4 linked regions of the Arabidopsis thaliana genome follow. The protein of the gene in region 3 interacts with the protein of the main gene of each other region in a pairwise test. Each region holds a gene or a part of one and is shown on either strand. Other genes may lie near its edges. The genes, in order: TOC132, AT5G40590, FER1 and ORA47.

What was found.
Region 1: the proteins of FER1 (region 3) and TOC132 interact in a protein complementation assay, tested with the Arabidopsis thaliana proteins (one large-scale study listed by BioGRID).
Region 2: the proteins of FER1 (region 3) and AT5G40590 interact in a two-hybrid assay, tested with the Arabidopsis thaliana proteins (one large-scale study listed by BioGRID).
Region 4: the proteins of FER1 (region 3) and ORA47 interact in a two-hybrid assay, tested with the Arabidopsis thaliana proteins (one large-scale study listed by BioGRID).

What each region holds. Positions count from the first base shown.
Region 1 is NC_003071.7:7,210,519-7,217,285, forward strand, and holds TOC132 (multimeric translocon complex in the outer envelope membrane 132), read right to left. Parts: upstream 5,100-6,767; 5' UTR 4,962-5,099; exon of another isoform or gene 4,609-4,961; 5' UTR 4,592-4,608; coding exon 971-4,591; 3' UTR 876-970; intron 762-875; 3' UTR 541-761; downstream 1-540. Other genes in the region: AT2G16630 (Pollen Ole e 1 allergen and extensin family protein), read left to right, coding at 12-354; PRORP2 (proteinaceous RNase P 2), read right to left, coding at 5,419-5,547, 5,619-5,687, 5,790-5,910, 6,009-6,187, 6,286-6,387, 6,557-6,767. UniProt on the Arabidopsis thaliana protein: GTPase involved in protein precursor import into chloroplasts. Seems to recognize chloroplast-destined precursor proteins and regulate their presentation to the translocation channel through GTP hydrolysis.
Region 2 is NC_003076.8:16,250,762-16,253,965, forward strand, and holds AT5G40590 (Cysteine/Histidine-rich C1 domain family protein), read right to left. Parts: upstream 1,674-3,204; 5' UTR 1,553-1,673; coding exon 848-1,552; 3' UTR 557-847; downstream 1-556. Other genes in the region: AT5G40595 (uncharacterized protein), read left to right, coding at 2,749-3,015, 3,160-3,204.
Region 3 is NC_003076.8:227,440-231,715, reverse strand, and holds FER1 (ferretin 1), read left to right. Parts: upstream 1-1,664; 5' UTR 1,665-2,121; coding exon 2,122-2,429; exon of another isoform or gene 2,430-2,453; intron 2,454-2,518; coding exon 2,519-2,602; intron 2,603-2,714; coding exon 2,715-2,775; intron 2,776-2,875; coding exon 2,876-2,963; intron 2,964-3,064; coding exon 3,065-3,126; intron 3,127-3,221; coding exon 3,222-3,287; intron 3,288-3,380; coding exon 3,381-3,444; intron 3,445-3,532; coding exon 3,533-3,567; 3' UTR 3,568-3,763; downstream 3,764-4,276. Other genes in the region: AT5G01610 (hypothetical protein (Protein of unknown function, DUF538)), read right to left, coding at 1-92, 177-231, 555-641.
Region 4 is NC_003070.9:28,142,214-28,145,605, reverse strand, and holds ORA47 (Integrase-type DNA-binding superfamily protein), read right to left. Parts: upstream 1,756-3,392; 5' UTR 1,610-1,755; coding exon of another isoform or gene 1,508-1,609; 5' UTR 1,368-1,507; coding exon 780-1,367; 3' UTR 548-779; downstream 1-547. Other genes in the region: AT1G74929 (uncharacterized protein), read left to right, coding at 1,508-1,609; ALDH10A8 (aldehyde dehydrogenase 10A8), read left to right, coding at 3,033-3,141, 3,342-3,392.

The sequences.
Region 1 (6,767 bases), on a different chromosome or scaffold from region 3:
TTGTGATATAGGTTGTGGATGAAACCTGAGTACAGATGCTACTGGAGGGCGATAGGTCCAGACACAAAGGTCGCAGTTGCATTTGGGCTAGTAGCCGGGAGAATATACGGCACAGATATGACAGTACGAGAAGCGCTTGACGGGCGAGGAGAAGCCTATAAGACACTTCTAAGAGAGGCAACAACTGCATTGCTCAATTCATACAACTCTCTAGGATTTCCTTATAATTCCGTCGCTGTGATCACATATACCAATCTGGCTCTCCTCGGGAATTCGGAACACGATGTCCTCATGACTGCTATTCGTTTCATCAAGGCTAATTCCGGGACCTGCAGATTCACAGTCTGCAATTGATTGAATGTGTTTTCAATACTTATATACTCTACACTCTTTCTTTCTCTTTTACATTGTTCTTGGGTCCTTTTGTAATACTATAAAAGTCTATACCTGGATTCATTGGAGAATTTATGGACTATTATTGTATCCCTATTTATACTCGGCATTAAACTTAGTTGTTACAAAGCCTAACGTTCTAGCACTGTGAGCACTAAATGTTGTTATGATATAATGCATCAATGATTGGAGAGGGACATGAACAAAAGTAGATATGCTTCATTCATAAGGGAGATCACAAGGTCTTAGAAATAGAAGAAAAACAAACCACTGAGCTATTATATATCAGACAAGGAACGTGTTATGTTCTGGCTATTTCAAGACACAAACTTTCCTCCAACAATTGGTCTCTTGCTACCAGACAGATCCTGTTCAAAACCAAAGCACATCAACGCTCAGCAAAATCCATTAAGAGGGTTTCCAAGAAAACGAAAATATCGAAATCAGTAATCACAGTAAGATATAGAGATCAGATTGTGTACCTTTTCAACTCACTCTAACATGTTCTTGTGACTAATCGATTCCTAATACTCCAGTGCAAAGGGATGGAAGTGAAATCAGCCTAAATGTTTCTTAATCATTGTCCATATTGCGTTTGCGGGTAATAATAACTAAGTAGCTTCTTGAAGAGAGGAACAATCGCAACCATAGCAAGTTGGAGCTGCTCGGAGCTGTTAACACGAACACTTACTTGCCCTGCTCCTCTATTGTTCAGATTAGCACGAGCAATTAAATTAGAGGAACGTCCAATGGGAACCTGAGACTGTATGTTCCCTCCAATAGCAAGATCACCGTGCCAATCCATTACAGAAAGTCCAAGAGTAGTCAAAAACCGACCAAGCGGATAATCTTTATCTCTCAACTGAGCTTCCAAAGTACCACCATAAGCAAAATCTCCCCGACTAGTCATAGCTCCACCAGACATTACGATTCTGAACCATTTACTAGCAATAAACTTATCTTCGACTTTCAACCCCGCAGAAACCGAATCACCCAAGTGTGTTACAGAAAGACCAGCTGCAGCCTTGTTTCTCCTGAAATTGTTAAATCTCGTTTCGCTTCGAAGAGTATAAGCCAATTCCTTTCCAACAGTTTGCATGTCGAAACCTAGGGAAGTTGATTTACCCTCTCCATGTTTAACCGAGCTGGCCATTTCTAGCTGCACATTTGCATCCTTCTTGTCTTTTGTCACTTGACCTGAGACAGATATTGGTATTTTTTCTTTTACAACAAAGAGCCGTTCTGCATTCACACCTTCATAACCAATATCATGATCCCACCCATGAGTTTCCAGGACTGGCCTAACAAGCCACTGATTGGAGGAATCAAGGTACCGGTAGCGGTGAGTAGGGTTATCAGAGTCAAAAGACGCAGGTAGAGATAAATCTGGCATAGGAACTGGAACTGATGCAGGTCCACCACTCTCCTCTTCCACATTTTCACTATACCCATCAGGCAAATCTTTAATCTCTGCAGCAAATTTCTTAAACATCTTACGTCTCTTTCTTTCCTCTTTCATTTGCTTCTTCATTAAAAGTTTCTCTCGGTACTCCATTTCATCGAGATACTGCTTCTTCTGAGATTTACTAAGCGTAGCCATCTGAGCTTTAGTCAAACTCTTAAACGGAGGAAGCTGATCATACTCTGATTCTTCGTCTGAATCTGATGATTCTTCTAAATCATCTTCATCTTCTTCATCACCATACTGCTGTTCAGGAAGCTTAGGTTGTGGTCTTGATTGCAGAAGCGATGAAAGGAGAAATGGTAATGGCGGAGCCTTGGACCGAGCTGCAAATGGTCTCCCTGGAATATTATCTTGCAACTTCAAAAGAGCATTTGCTTCTGCTAGAATCTTAGATGCAAATGAGAGTAGCAACAAATGTGGCTTCCACACTTGGCCATTCGGTAATACTCTCTGGCCTGCCCGATTAGTCCTGCAAGCTGAGTGATTCTCAACTAAAGAAACAGGGTTCATGAGCCTCATATCTCCAGCTGCTTGGCGAATGGCCTGCTGGATGACATGAGAACGTTGTGTAACAAACATATCATAGCTAGAAGCAGTGCCATTTGGGCCATCTGGTGGAACAGAAGCGGCATGAGTCAAACCCACAATGGCATTAAACCATATCGAAGGACCAAAAACATCACTTATGGTGCGCAGGAGAGGCATGTCACCAGAATCTCTGCTTTGCATATCCAACCTATCAAGATATAGTACAATGTCAGGTGGATTCTTCTTGATGAAAGCCTTAACAGAATTCAGGATCTTCTCATTCTTGGCTTGATCAGACCAGGAAGGTAAGAGACCGGGAGTGTCAATCACCCGTACCTTAATTCCCTGAACCAAACCCTCAACATCTTGAACCCTCTTTGTCCCCATCTGGAATGCATCAGTACAAAATTTCACTTCATCAAATATAGAATTGATCGTTGCACTTTTACCAACCCCACTTTTTCCGAGAACCATAATCGTACAAGAAAAATCAAGTGGATCCTGTCCAGCAGCCTCAAGCTGTTCTGCCATGGCACTAGCGCGATCAAAACTAAAAGCACCAACACGGCTTCCATTTCTGCCCCTCAACTGCTCAGCCAATCCAAGCCTGTATAAAACCTGAGCAACAACAACATTATGCGGGGTTTGCCCTAGTCTATGTGCAAGCCTCAAAAATTTTACCCTGATCAACTGGAGCTTCTCGCGGGTCTCATCATGCTCATCAGCCTCTGTAGTGGTAGAGTCTTCAGCTTGCTGAAACTGATTGTGAGACCCATTCCCATTGACGCGAGACTGTTGAGGAGCACGTGATGCAGGTTCCAAAAGAGGAGAAGCACGACCAAGACCTGCTGGACGAGCAGGTGGTAATGCCGCAGGATTACTTCTAGACTCTGTTGGTGAAACAGAACTTACTACCTCAGGTTCTGTTTCCACATGTGAATTTTCTGTAATCTCTGGATCTACATGTACTCTGCTGCTTTGCTGCTTCTCAAGCTCCTTATTTGGTTGAGGACTCTGAACATCATGTCCTCCATTAGCACTTTGAACTGGTTTGTGTTCTCTACTAGTTACCCCAGGGGAGCCACTATTGCTGTGAACTTCAGTTGACTCAGGATATGAGTGCGGCGAAGAAGCCAAGTGTTGCTCTGGTTTTAAACAAGTACTGTCCCCTTCAGTCTCTCCCTTTTCCCCGGAACTAGATTCCTCCAATGGAGATGAAGTCACAGCACTTGATACTTCATTGTCACCTGAAGCATTAGTAACGATATTACTTGTGTAGGCGGCACCAGTCTCACCATTTCTTTCTGCCTCGGACTCACTGTCCATACATACTGAACCATTCTCAAATAGATCCTTACTTGTTCCTTCACCTTCCACAACATCTTGTTCTGTCTGTTTCTCAAATAGATTCTTACTTGTTCCTTCACCTTCTACAACCTCTTCTTCTGTCCGTTTCTCAAATTGATTTTCAGTTGTTCCTTCACCTTCCTCAACCTCTTGTTCTGTCTGTATGCCATCAACTCTTTCCTCCCAATTATCGACTTCAATGCCATCATTCCATGGTTCCTCAATCCCATCATCTTTAGGGATAACTTCAGCCACCACTTCTTTATTTTTAGGAGAGGCGATTCCATTTCCCAAAAAAGAATGAGTCTTTCCGTTTTCAATACCCACATGCTCAGCTGCTAAATTGGAACCATTAGTATTAGTTGATGTAGCATTCTCAGTGGTATCAACAACATCCAAGCTCGATTCAACTTTATCATAAGAACCACCTCCACCTCCTTCCCCCTTATCACCATTCATTTTAGTAGCCAAAACATCAAATTCAGCCTCTCCCGCACCATGGCTCTCTCCAACAGCCGTAAAATCTTTAACACCCCCTTCATTGCTACTCGTTTCATCCAAATCACCCACTGCCTCTTCAAAATCCTCCACTTCATGCTCAACCATAGAACTTTTAAGAGTTTCCACTAAAGGCAAATCATCAGATTCAAACAATTCACGTTTTGGATCCTCCTCCTCCTCCTGCTCATCATTCTCTGAACCAATCGCTTCCTCAAAAACCTCGTCCTCGTTATCATCCCTTACTTCATCAGATCTCACCAACTCATTCTTCACTACTTGCTCATCACTAATTCTATCCTCAGCAAGCTTCTTATCTTCCCTATCTGACCTAACCACAAACTCAGTCCCATCTCCCATTTTCTAGATCACCACCGCTACGGGAAACAAAAGCCACAAATACAATAATCAGAGATCAGAAATCACTCCAATTACCAACTACGCTTTAACCATCAATATAAATTCCAACAACCAAAAAAAAAAAAAAACGAGCACACAGCTAAAAGAAACCTAGATCAGAGTTAATCACCACGAATCCTAGAATCCTTATCCCTTACCAATTCCAGAAACTAAAATTCAATTGAAGTTAACCAAATCGCTTAAACACAGGTCTAAGCGGTGATAGGGATCTCCAAACATGGAAGAAGAACTTTGTTGATTACAGGAAACGAAAACCAAAACAGAAGAAAGAAGACGAAGAAAGAAGAAGAGAAATGGAGAGAAGCCTTACCAGAAGTTAGAGATAGAGAGAGAGAGAGAGAGAGAGAAATAGAGAGAAGGTGAAAAAGTGTGAAGATCCTTTCATGCGCTTTACCGGCTGCGAGCCTGCGACTACGACGGGGAAGGAGATAAGAGACGTTCATCAACGGTCCTGATCAGTTTGGGTTTAAGCATCGTACGGTTGATAATGACTCGTTGATGCAATCGTGAAATGATGCTGACGTGGACTATATAAAGTAGAGTGAGTGAAGCCGTGAAAGGGAATAGAAAACCCTCGTGCGTCAATTCGGTTTAACCAACCCGGTCTGATTCGGTTTGGTCTACTACAATTTTTTGTGTTCTTTCTAATGAGAAAAGTTCAGTCCCTTATTATAGAACCAATGAACGTTTTTTGTGTTAATCTTCAAAGGACAAAGAATGAAAACTCATAACAAATGATACATGAACTCAATAAGCTGGTGCAGCTACTAAGGAATCTTCCCATTACTCTTAGGTGAATCTAAAATACTTTGTCTGCTAATACACATCCAAGTTCTTGAAGACTCTTCATTGTTTTCGCATGAGACCGGGAAATGCCATGACCCTTTCTCTGATTCCTGATTTTGTCGAAACGTAATTGAGAAACTATCGAAACCGGAGAAAAAAAGGACTGAGATGGTAAACAAACCTGAATGACAACCGAAAAAGGAGACGGCATTTCAAGCTTCAGGTTACCTTTCACAAAAGTATACCGGACCTGTACCAAAACCATAAACCAAATGTTCTAATTGTAGACTTCTCAAAGTTGCACTTTTAGTATAAAAAGTTACATATTGTATATAAGTTTATATAACTTTACCTGATGTCTTTCTTTCCACTTTTGGAAAAAAGTACTCCCTAAGAGTTCAAAAATGTGGTCTCTCATCTCATCATTTGTCACAAGCAAACACTTGAGCTTAGCAGCAGCATACAGCCAATACCTGGAAAGGTAAAAAAAACAAAAGATGAGTGTAGTAACCAAACATTGTTTGTGTTTTTTGTCGAAATAATGGTGCTGAGAGAAGCTAAAAGTTCATACCAATCATCATTGGAACCTGGTGGAGTTGCATACAGGACACCGTTACTAATCCATTCTTCAACCAGATTCCGGTGAGTTGGGTTTTCTAAAAGCGTCTTGACCCGTCTCTTGTGCAATAGAATTAGGGGCCATTTGTTATTACCACTTTCACGGTAAAGTTCCTTCATCACAGATTCAAGCTGCTCTATCCCACATGTATGTGATATCAGTATAGCAAGGAATGGATTCTAAAAATATGGAGGAAGAAAAACAAGTACCCCAGAAAAGATGGGAGAACCTGTGAAAGACTGAAACTGCCATCTACAAAATTTTGTTGGTAGAGCCCAATATTTGCTCCATCTACTATAGCTTCGTAATCTCCATGTTTCTCAAGCCAGTCCTGCCAAATAAGATAGCAACATTCAACAAATATCGACATTTGAATACTCAAGATTGATGACAATTCGCAGCAAAAACTCCAACCAGTGTACCTATCTCTAAATGCTTATCATGCAATATTTAATGTCCAAGACTTATTATAACCAAGCTAAGAGAATCCCATCTCTAACCTGAAACTCGCTGAAGACCACATTTGTCTCACATGAATTCATCTTTGTCTTCCTATCCATAGCCAAAGCCACCAAAGAATCCACAAACTTCTGTGTTTCTACCTCATTGGTATCTACACAAGCTAACTGCTCACTGCAGCTCAAACATCTTCCTGTTGAGCTAACATTACCTTTCTTTACAGTCCATTTACCCTCCCCAACCCACCCATGC
Region 2 (3,204 bases), about 16 Mb from region 3:
ATAAAAGTGAAAAATCTAAGCTTATAGAAGAGTGATGTTACCTTTACTTGAAGGTTTTGCTGAGAGGAAGGAAGCTCGAATCGGAGAAGAAGAAGAAAGCAAGCAACTTTAGCAGAGAGTTTTCTTCTTCCTCAATTAAACTATTTTTGAGGCTCTATTATAAATGGGCCTATCTTTACTTTAATGGGCTTAACTTCTGTCAAAATGAGCCCATTTGTTAACTCCCTAATGATTATGTGACTTCTAATTGTGTGTGTGTTTTTCTTGACATCATCACTTCTAATTGTGTGTTTGCATTTGCAAGGTCTGGATTTGTTTGTTTTTTATTCAGTTTTGAGATCAATTTGATTTTACGAACAAATAACATTGACAGAAATATAAAATAAAATGTAATTAATACTATATTGATAATATAGATATAATTAAATCTTAAACTTTAGATTTTATTTTACCATCCGTTATTAACACATCGATAACACTAACACAAACTACTTTAAATAACCCCAAATCTCACAATTTCAATACTTTATTCCCAATATTTTTAATCTATAAGTAGGGGTGATCCAATACTTATATATTTTTCCTATAGTAATATAAAATGGATTATGGAACTTGAAACATAGTATGCAAAGGTAACATGGTTACAAAAACGAAAGCAGCAATAATCGTTCAAAAAAAAAAACTGATAATTCTTTTATTTCAGATAACAATTTCAAAGAAAAAAACAACAACAACAACAACATGAAAAGTTTGCAGGAGCAACAACAACATAAATCAAGAAAAAGCAACAAAAAGAAGAAAAACAGACACAAGTAAAGAGAATTTGAAGAATCCCAACTTCTTCGAATTAGATGCAATTGAGAGCTGCCTTATTCGCCTTTTTCGAAATCAAAGCACTTTGCATCGCCAAATGCATCTCAATCTGCATCCTCTCCACTTCTCTTTGAGCCTCTAACATTGCAGCTAACTCCGAATTCATCGAGTTTTTACTTCCTTCTCCTTTTTGATCTTCTTTCTTTGCCTCTTCCTCTTTCTTACATGAGTGTAAATGCGTAGCGTAATCACATTCCTTGCAATAATACGACCAGAGATTATCCGGTACAATGTCTTCACAAACATCGCATTTGGAAACTAAACCGGGTTGGTTATAAGGAGAACCGTAAAGAAGAGTAAGTGGATGTGGGTGATCTTCACGCTTCACTGTTTCAGGCATTGAAACACATCCGACATGTACATCGTACTGACAGATTGAACAGTTGTACGTGAAACTTGATCCGTATTCGCCGCAAGCATTACACGTGTACGTTGACTTTGGGGAATAGATTAAAGTCAAAGTGTGGGGTTGGTGAGATTTGTGGTTGGTTTCACGTGGAAGTTCAAAACATGACTTGTGCAAGAAGTAATCACAATCTGATGACTTTGTGCATTTGAAAGCTGCACCAACCAGATCGAGATCACAACCGGAGCAGATGATTTCGTCTTTGGCTTCGCATTTGTGACCGCGCAATGGATGGTTGTGACTCGGGTGCCTCACCGATTGTCGTGAAGACATTGTTTTATTCAATGTTCTTGATTTAGTATTGAGAGGCGTTTTGTTTGTGTTTGTGTTTGTGATTGTAATTAGCTTAGGATTTCAATCTATTTATAGCGTTAATGGAGAAGACTTAGTGATATTGAGTCTTGGTTTTGAATTTGACTATCAAACCAAGTTGTAGTTTATAGTGATTAACTATATAATTGGGAGAACAATGTCACGCTTTAAGTTATATATATATATAATATATTATATATTAAGTATATAACAAAATGGTTCATTTGGGATTCGAAGTCAAGAAATGCATTTCAAAGTCAAGAGATGCATTATGCATGGAATTAGTTTGCGATCTTGTTCACGCATCTGAGTTTTTTTTAAATGTTATAACTATAATTAGCTAATTAACCTGTTGAAATTCAAGATAAATCAAAATAAATATTGTTCTATCATTAGCAAGTTGGGGATAAATACATTAACGTTGACATAGTGACGGATGTAAAAGTCAAACTAATCACAATGCTTTGACTCTAATTAATTAAGGCTGATATCCACCGTCTACTCCTTCGTTTCGTTTCGTTTCGTTTCGTTTCATACAATAATGTTTTTTGGAATGCATACATACTATATTGTAAAATGATTGAATTACACTTTTTTATAAGAAATGATAAAAAATGATAAAAGAATTGGTGGAGATACAAAAATAAGAGATGCTCGAAATAATAATAGAATTGTGAAAACAAAAACAACAACGCATTAAAATAATATGATTGTTTTATTAAAATCATAAATATATATATATATAAAAAAACAAAATATAAATTAACATATTTTAGTTAGTTTATATCTTTGTAATCGATTCGATTATGTTACGCTCACAATCACAAGTTTGAAAATCTTCGTGTGGGATGAATCATAATGGATCCTGTAATAGAAATGTCATAATAAACAGATTACGGAATCCTTGATTATTGATATGGTTTCCTTAGTCAAAAAAATTAGAATCACTGGGGAACAGTAATGGAATTCAATCATGCAAAAATAACTTGTCAATTTATGTTAATATTATGTAAGAGATCCTCATGATTCGAATTGTGATTCATTCATGTAGCAGTTTCACCGATGATCTTATGTGTTATAAATTAGATTAATATTCAGACAAGGTCACACTCACACATTGACATTACATACGATCAAACTCGGTTTCTTACGGTACCATGTCGCGGTTTGGAGAAAACAATGGCAAGGGCATTAAGCCCCTGCCAAGAACAATTCGAGTTCGCATGTTTGACAACTCGGAATTAATCAGAAGGTTAAAGAGGACGACACTTATCGGAAAGATTATGAATCCTGACGTTCAGAGTGTTGGATCACTAGTTTTGATGATGCCTAGAATCTGGAAACTAGAGGGTCAAGTGGTTGGGAGGGACTTGGGATTGGGAACGTTCAGGTTAGATTTCGAGAGAGAGGAAGATATTCTTGAGGTGATGAAAACGGAGACTTTCAATTATAATCATTGGATGCTTTCTATTGTAAGGTGGGAACCGATTATACACAAGGACTACCCATCGGCCATCACATTTTGGGTCCGAATCGTGGGTGTTCCTCGGGATTTCTGAACTGATCAGGATTTCCGGAGAATAGGGAATGAGCTAGGAACTGTTCAAACCTTT
Region 3 (4,276 bases):
ATCGAACTCGTAGTTTGTAGCATCTCCCGGGAAGATTCCAATCGGCAAATCATATTCTTTTAGTAACTCAGGCAACGGCTTCTGCATTTTCCCTGTCAACATGATGACAAATGGGGAATTTCAAAAAAACAAAAAATTGAAAGATGCAGTCAGAAGAAGAATAAAAAAAAGCAAACCTTTGATTTTGTTGACCAACCATTTTGTTCCTCCTTCAATGCTCGTTGACACCGACTGGCATAAACAAAAACATTGTTTTATATGTTAGAAAAGATCACAGTTTCAAACAAAATAATCTAACCACATGAGCAAGAAGAGAAGACATTATAGGATCATATATTTGAATCATTTCTTAAGATATCATGGTTTTGGTAATTAGATGTTCTTCCTTATGTGACGTGATTTACCTAACAATGAACTCAAAACATTCGTACAACTGCATGATACCAAAATTACGATAAAGGTGGTTGATTATATCGGAACCACGTCAATAGATCAAAATCGATTAGGAAAACAGATGAATCAGATTCTATAGGATGGGTCAAAAAAAGACGTACGTTGAGATCGTTGCCGACGGAGTCAAACTGCTTGTTAGCCTTTTGGCCTAACCAGTAGGATCCAACCTTGTTGAAGATCTGATCCATATTCTCTCGAGAAAGGATAGAGAAGATTTTGAGAAAACGAAGGACGACTTTCTTTCTTTTTCTTCCGGGAAAGAATTTTGGGAACCCACCACTCTCGCACCGTTGGATTCGTTATTTGTGCACTATTCCTGCAGCCAATTAACTTATGACATGTGGCAAATACATAAACACCAATATATTTATTGAAGCAAGCAGGCAGCATTATACTGTACAAATTACAAAAAAAAGTACTTGCCTATCACTCCTCCTTGGGACTGACTATCTATCTATTGGGCCTTCAATGAAAATCAGATTAAATAGGTGCAACACAACTTGGGAACTGAAGAACCACATGGCACAAAACAGAGTAAAATTAAAGACTACAATCAATCCTTTTTTTTTGCCATTCCTCCCATGATTTTACTTGTCTATTAGACGAACCTCAGCTAAATTTGTAATTACAGTCGAAAATATTATTAAGCTCTTTAACACTTTTATAGCCTACCCTTGTCTTTGTGCATTCCAGAGTAATACGAATCGATTCAAATCAAGCCAATAAAATAAAACCAAGCCTAACTACACTTTATTTAATGCTTAATTTTTGTCCTTGCCAACATTACAACTTTTTAGAAAAACCATTTGATATGATTTTTTAACTTGGGCCGTGACATTACTAATGAGGCCCACAATGTACTTACTCCGACGTGTAATTGTCTCCGATAAAGACAAGGAACCATTTGGAACCTCTCACGCGCTTTAGCTGGAAATTACGTGGAGTTGAGCTACTCGCGACTCTATCCTATGTATAATTGTATATCAGTTTTCCGTCTCCATCAAATATCCTAGAGAGCCACGAATTTTTCCTTCTTTGTTGTAAATTATGAATATTAGGCCACATAATACGGAAAGTCTTAAAGGGTTTGGACCATTCTCAATCTTATGTTCTAGTAGCTTGATGATTTTTTATAAAAACAATATGGAAATACTTTTATCTCTATCCGATTTCCTATGTCAATATGTGTCACAGGATTTTACACGTCTAACTTATGTTGGAAACGCTATCATCTTTTCTTTTTTTTTTTTTATAGTAAACAATTGTATTTGTTATCATCTACAACTCTAAAAAATACATTTCGAAAAATAGGAGAGAGCGAGTAGGAAATAAGAAAGTGGCAACGCGAGAGTAGGAACCGGAAATGGTAAAAAGATTCTGAGGATAAAAGAGAAAGCAGAGAAACAGACAAACTTTATTTGGAGAGATGTTAACGTGGATCGAATATCCTCACGTTCACACTATCCCATTGGATGTAGCACGAGGCCGCCACACGCCCCTACATCTGGCTTTCATATCCACCCTCCACGTGGATCTCAATCCAACGGTGACCACACGCCTTTTCCCTCTTATATAAACCCTTCCTCCTTCCTCTTTCTTATCATCATCACCATCTCTTACAACAAATCTCAGGCGGCTCAACACTATCCTCTTCTACATTTTCCAACGATGGCCTCAAACGCACTCTCGTCTTTCACCGCCGCTAATCCCGCTCTGTCTCCTAAGCCACTACTCCCTCACGGCTCTGCTTCTCCGTCGGTTTCTCTCGGCTTCTCCAGGAAAGTTGGCGGCGGCAGAGCAGTGGTCGTTGCAGCGGCTACGGTGGACACAAACAACATGCCGATGACCGGAGTCGTGTTCCAGCCTTTCGAAGAGGTGAAGAAAGCCGATCTGGCCATTCCAATCACATCTCATGCCTCTCTCGCTCGCCAGAGGTTTGCCGACGCTAGCGAGGCAGTCATTAATGAGCAAATCAAGTAAGCTTCTCTTTTCTTTTCTGTCTAATTAAAGAAACGAAAATGTTTAAAGATTAGATCTAACGGAGGAGGTTGCTTTCTATTTACAGTGTGGAATACAACGTCTCCTATGTGTACCATTCAATGTACGCATACTTTGACAGAGACAACGTTGCTATGAAGGGACTAGCCAAGTAATTATTACCTTCTAACTCTAATCTTAATCTTATTTATAATAATCTTGATCGTATACTTCAAAATGAGATATATATGTCCATACTAAACATGAGTTTTTATAATCACCAGATTTTTCAAGGAATCAAGTGAGGAAGAGAGAGGGCATGCTGAGAAGTTTATGGAGTACCAGGTTTTCTATTTTTACCTTCTTTTCTGTTTTAGAAAAGTTGATAAAGACTTGTGATTCACTTAGTTAATATTCATATTGTTGGTTTGTTGTCTCTATACAGAACCAAAGAGGAGGAAGAGTGAAACTCCACCCTATCGTCTCACCTATCTCAGAATTCGAACATGCTGAAAAAGGAGATGCTTTATATGGTAAAACTTTAAGCAAATACACTATCTTAATCCTAAAATAACAACTTTTCTTTTTTTTTAAAGATACAGATATTTATTAGTTTACTAATCTTTGTTTTCAGCAATGGAGTTGGCTCTGTCTCTAGAGAAACTCACTAATGAGAAGCTTCTAAACGTTCACAAAGTAAGTTCCCTAACTTATCCATTTGATCATCAAAGATTAAACTTATAGTCATTTTCCTAATACTAACTAACACGTACTTTTGGCCAACAAAACAGGTGGCCTCAGAGAACAATGATCCCCAGTTAGCTGATTTCGTTGAGAGTGAATTTCTGGGAGAGCAGGTAAAAGTTCTTTTGCCTTTGTTCGGATTACAACTAGTGACTTGTATAATCTGTACATGTTCTGACTCAGAATATATTATGGACTATTTCTAGATTGAAGCAATCAAGAAGATCTCAGACTACATCACCCAGCTAAGGATGATCGGCAAAGGCCACGGTACGAATCAAAACCCTATATTGAGATAGTGTTCTCAGACTTGAATGGTATTTCTAAAAGCTTATTTACATTTGTTCTGTCTTTGCAGGAGTTTGGCATTTCGACCAGATGCTTCTGAACTAGACTTGGACCTCTATAAGTTCACTTTCAGATGACCAATGTTGGGGTTAAAACAGAAGAACCCGAAGATTCTGTAAAAGCTTTAGATTGAACATTATGGACTAATAAGATTGTAGTAGTAAGCTTTGTGTTCAAGATGGTTTTTGTAATAACTTCGTAAGCTTAATCAATGAAGTTTTTGTTTTAGTATATTCTAACTAGCTATAAACCTACGGCCAAACAATGCGTAACTAAGAAAATAGTGAAAACTCAGACCTATCTAATTAAACATAGAATATTTATGATCCAACTTGAAAGAGTAAGCATAACGAACCTGTTTATGAAGAACATGTAAAAGAAGCATGAAGCGTATGTCACTTTCCACCGAGAAGGACAAGCTGGTCACTGGGATATAACTGAACAGCAAACAAGAACAAGATCACTGTCACATCAAAGCAAAAGAGATGCTCTTACTTTGATTCCATGTTGAACAGTAGAAAATCATTTCTAACCAAACAAAGACCTGTCTGTTCTACAAAGAGCTGACAAATGTACGAAAATGAGTATCCATAAGAAGTTCATGACGTATGAAAACACCATTAAGCTTTTCATGTACAGATTCTCCCTTAGTGATTTATCTTTTCATCATGGTTCTTCAAACCACTAAGCATTAAGTAAAGATTGAGAATCTTATTTGTATAATGACGAAGAAGTCCCTCGCACGGGAACAATC
Region 4 (3,392 bases), on a different chromosome or scaffold from region 3:
GTTTTCTAGTATTTATTAGCACCTAGATTATTAGTATTAGTTTAGCTAGTGGTTTTTATTTTTTCTTTTTTATTTTGTCTCGAATGAAATAGTGGTTTATATTGAAAGTGATGGTTTTTCTTATTTAAGCCGAAAATCAGGTGGCAATTTGAAAATGATGGGAATCTTATCCACCCCAATTTTTTTTCATTTTTTTTTCCGATTACTGATATTTTTCTCGATTCAATTCTATTTTCTTTGAAGACCGTTTCTCTTCCTTGATTTCCAATCCTAATTTCTTGACTTATTGATGTTGAACTTTGTAATTGTCATCAATACTATCGAAATGCTTGGAAGATATTTTATCATATTTCATTTATAGAAACCCCCTTGTGTTTTAATTAGGCCAAGGGAACCTTCGTACTTCACTTAAGTTAACTACTTTATCACGAAAATCAATTTTTAAAACAATGGGCTGAGAAAAATGTTTAATGACTAAGGCCCAACTATAAGATTTTGGGCCGGATAATATAATCTTCCAAACTCATCGTGTTCGAAGGATATTCTTCAGAATAATGAAATGGACTTTTAACATTTATTACTAGAATCTTATCCGATTTTTCTTTACAACAAAAAAATGAAAAAATATAGGTGTGAATATGATCCACATCAAATTCGGATCCGAAACGAAAGAAATTCCCGGGTCATTGGAGCTCCGTGTTACAAAAAATCTCCAGATTTCTCCATGACTCCAAGGAAAATCTCACAGTTCGCTCTAAAAAAATATTATGTTTGGGAATTCAAAAATCCCAAAGAATCAAAGATTCATCTAATAAACTCTCTCCTCCGTAATCTTCGATGGGTAAAATCTCTGTAAATCGATCACCACCGGAGAAGCCAGAGAAGTCGTCGGAGAAGGAATCAAACCCGAAATTCATCGGAAGCAAATCCAAAAACGAAAAATCATAATCCACCGTCGATGTAGCAACAGATGCAGATGTAGAAGGAGACTCTGGTCGGATCTCGGATCCGGGTACTAAACCCGATTCTTCTTCTCCCTTGACAATGTCTTGGAATGTGTTAGCGAATCTAGCAGCAGCTTCCTGAATCTCCGGAGGCGTCAACGACTTTTCTACGGAGATCGACGGTGGATTATTAGGGAAATTGAAATTAGCATCGCCGCCGCGGAGACAAAATTGAGCGGCGTCGAAAGCACGCGCCGCCTTCTCGGGAGTGTCGTAAGAGCCTAACCAAATTCGTTCTCTGCTGTGTGGAAGTCTGATCTCCGATACCCATTTTCCCCATTTCCTCTTCCTCACTCCTTTGTACTTTGACTGCATCGCCGTGTTTCTCTTCTTCTCCTCTTCCTTCATCGCTTGCTTCACCATTGGATAAAAACTCCGGTTCGGTTCGATTCGGTTTGGTTGAATTGGATTCTGTTTCCGGTTCTTAACTCGAGTTTCAGTTGTGTAGGTTAATTCTGTTATATCTGGTTGATTTCGAATTTGCGGCTGTGTGGGATTTATATATGAAGAAGTGGAAGTGGCAAGTGAGGAAGAAGATCAACGCTGACTGGCGCGTGAAGATGGGACACGTGGCGGATTGTATTGAGTGGCTAACGCGGGAATAGTGAGACTGTTCTGCTTTGTCGTGTTCCTTGTTTTCCACGTGATTTAATTCAACTCTCTTTTGTCTTTTTGCATTATATCTGAATGATTATCTCTATTTGTTTAGGCACGTTTGTTTTAAATACTGAGATTTTCGTCGCGACTTCTGTTTCTAGAATTTTAAGACTACTTCTTCTTTTGTATTTTAGAGATTATTGGGCGTTGAATCGGACACACATAAGTATTGTTATTATAAATGTTTGCATCAATGGTTAGGCTCATGACATTTTTGATGCGGACACTAATTAAGAAGTTAAGAAGCAAGTATATGACTCACTGTTTTGAAGAAAGAAGCGAGTCGTCTGTTGATCATAACTTGAGATTCGTAGAAGAAGAAAGGTGGAACCAAAACAGAAGTTTCATACATGAACACTATTTAGAGCAGTAGCTATCTCTTTTGTTTACGCATTCTGTTTTCCAAATAAGTTAAAAAAAGTTACCTTCTTTTAATCCCACTTCTCAAGATGGAGCAATAATTGAATTGAAGGCCAGTGGCCACTACTAACTTTCATTATACTTTGCTCGAGATAGCCACTACTAATGAACTTGTGACACAACCTTGTGTAAGAACAGTCTCCCTTAGATTCAATAATCAATTTCCATTTTGGGAAAATCGTTTGTTACTATTATTTATTTGTTCAGAACCCACGGAACAGATTGCCCCCAACCCTCCGAGTTACCAACTTTATAGGTTTTCGCTGAGCAACAACATCCCATTAGAACGGTGAAGCTCATCATCATGAGCATGAAGGAGAAGATTCTTGTTGTTGTGGTCGCCATTATCGATCAAAAGATCACAAATTAAGAAAATCGAAGAAGGAAGATTGAGGAATATAAGTCGATGAGTTATTTGAGTATTGATGAGGAAAACAAAGACTATACGAACTCTCTATTTATAAGGTTTACGGAACCTAATCCTTGCCGGTTTAGGATTTTACTCAACGTTTGGAATATATTACATGTTTATTTCCTTTTTCAATTTTGATTCACCTCTTATCTTGCAAAAAAACAAAACAAAAAAGTGACGTTTAAAGATCTCTAATCCTTTTCTAATTAACTTTGTGTATGATTTTTAGTTCTTCTAATTTCTATATATTTTTGTTCATAATATGAAAATTTGATCTCTGTTTTAATTATTTTGGAACTAAATACACATTTTTAATTAGATTAGTAAAAGAGTTATAATTAAAAAAAGTTGATCTGGTTGGTGTCAGCAGAACAAGGAAAAAAGAGAGGCTTTTTCGTTTTGATCCTCCTACTCTTCTTCATTAGTGAAAGCTACTTATAAAGTCCAAATCTTGAAGTGCGTGCACGGTGCACCACGAATCCACGATCCAGTGAGCAGCAGCAACTCCATCTCCGGAGCTCTAGATTCAGATAAGAACAATGGCGATTCCGATGCCTACTCGCCAGCTATTCATCGACGGCGAATGGAGAGAACCCATCTTGAAGAAGCGAATCCCGATCGTTAATCCAGCTACTGAAGAGGTCATTGGTAAGCGCTTTTCTCAAAATCCGCCACAGCTCGATTAGATCCAAGTAAAAATGTATACTTTTGTTTACTTCTTAGTTCGATGTGGAGATATTACTTGCTCCTAACTCTATTCATGACTATCTTTTGCTGTATCGACTACTTTCTTTCCATGAATTTTAGTTGAAGTTGATCCAAGGATTTGTATGTGTTGGATGAGATAGGTGATATTCCTGCAGCTACAACGGAGGACGTGGATGTTGCTGTCAACGCTG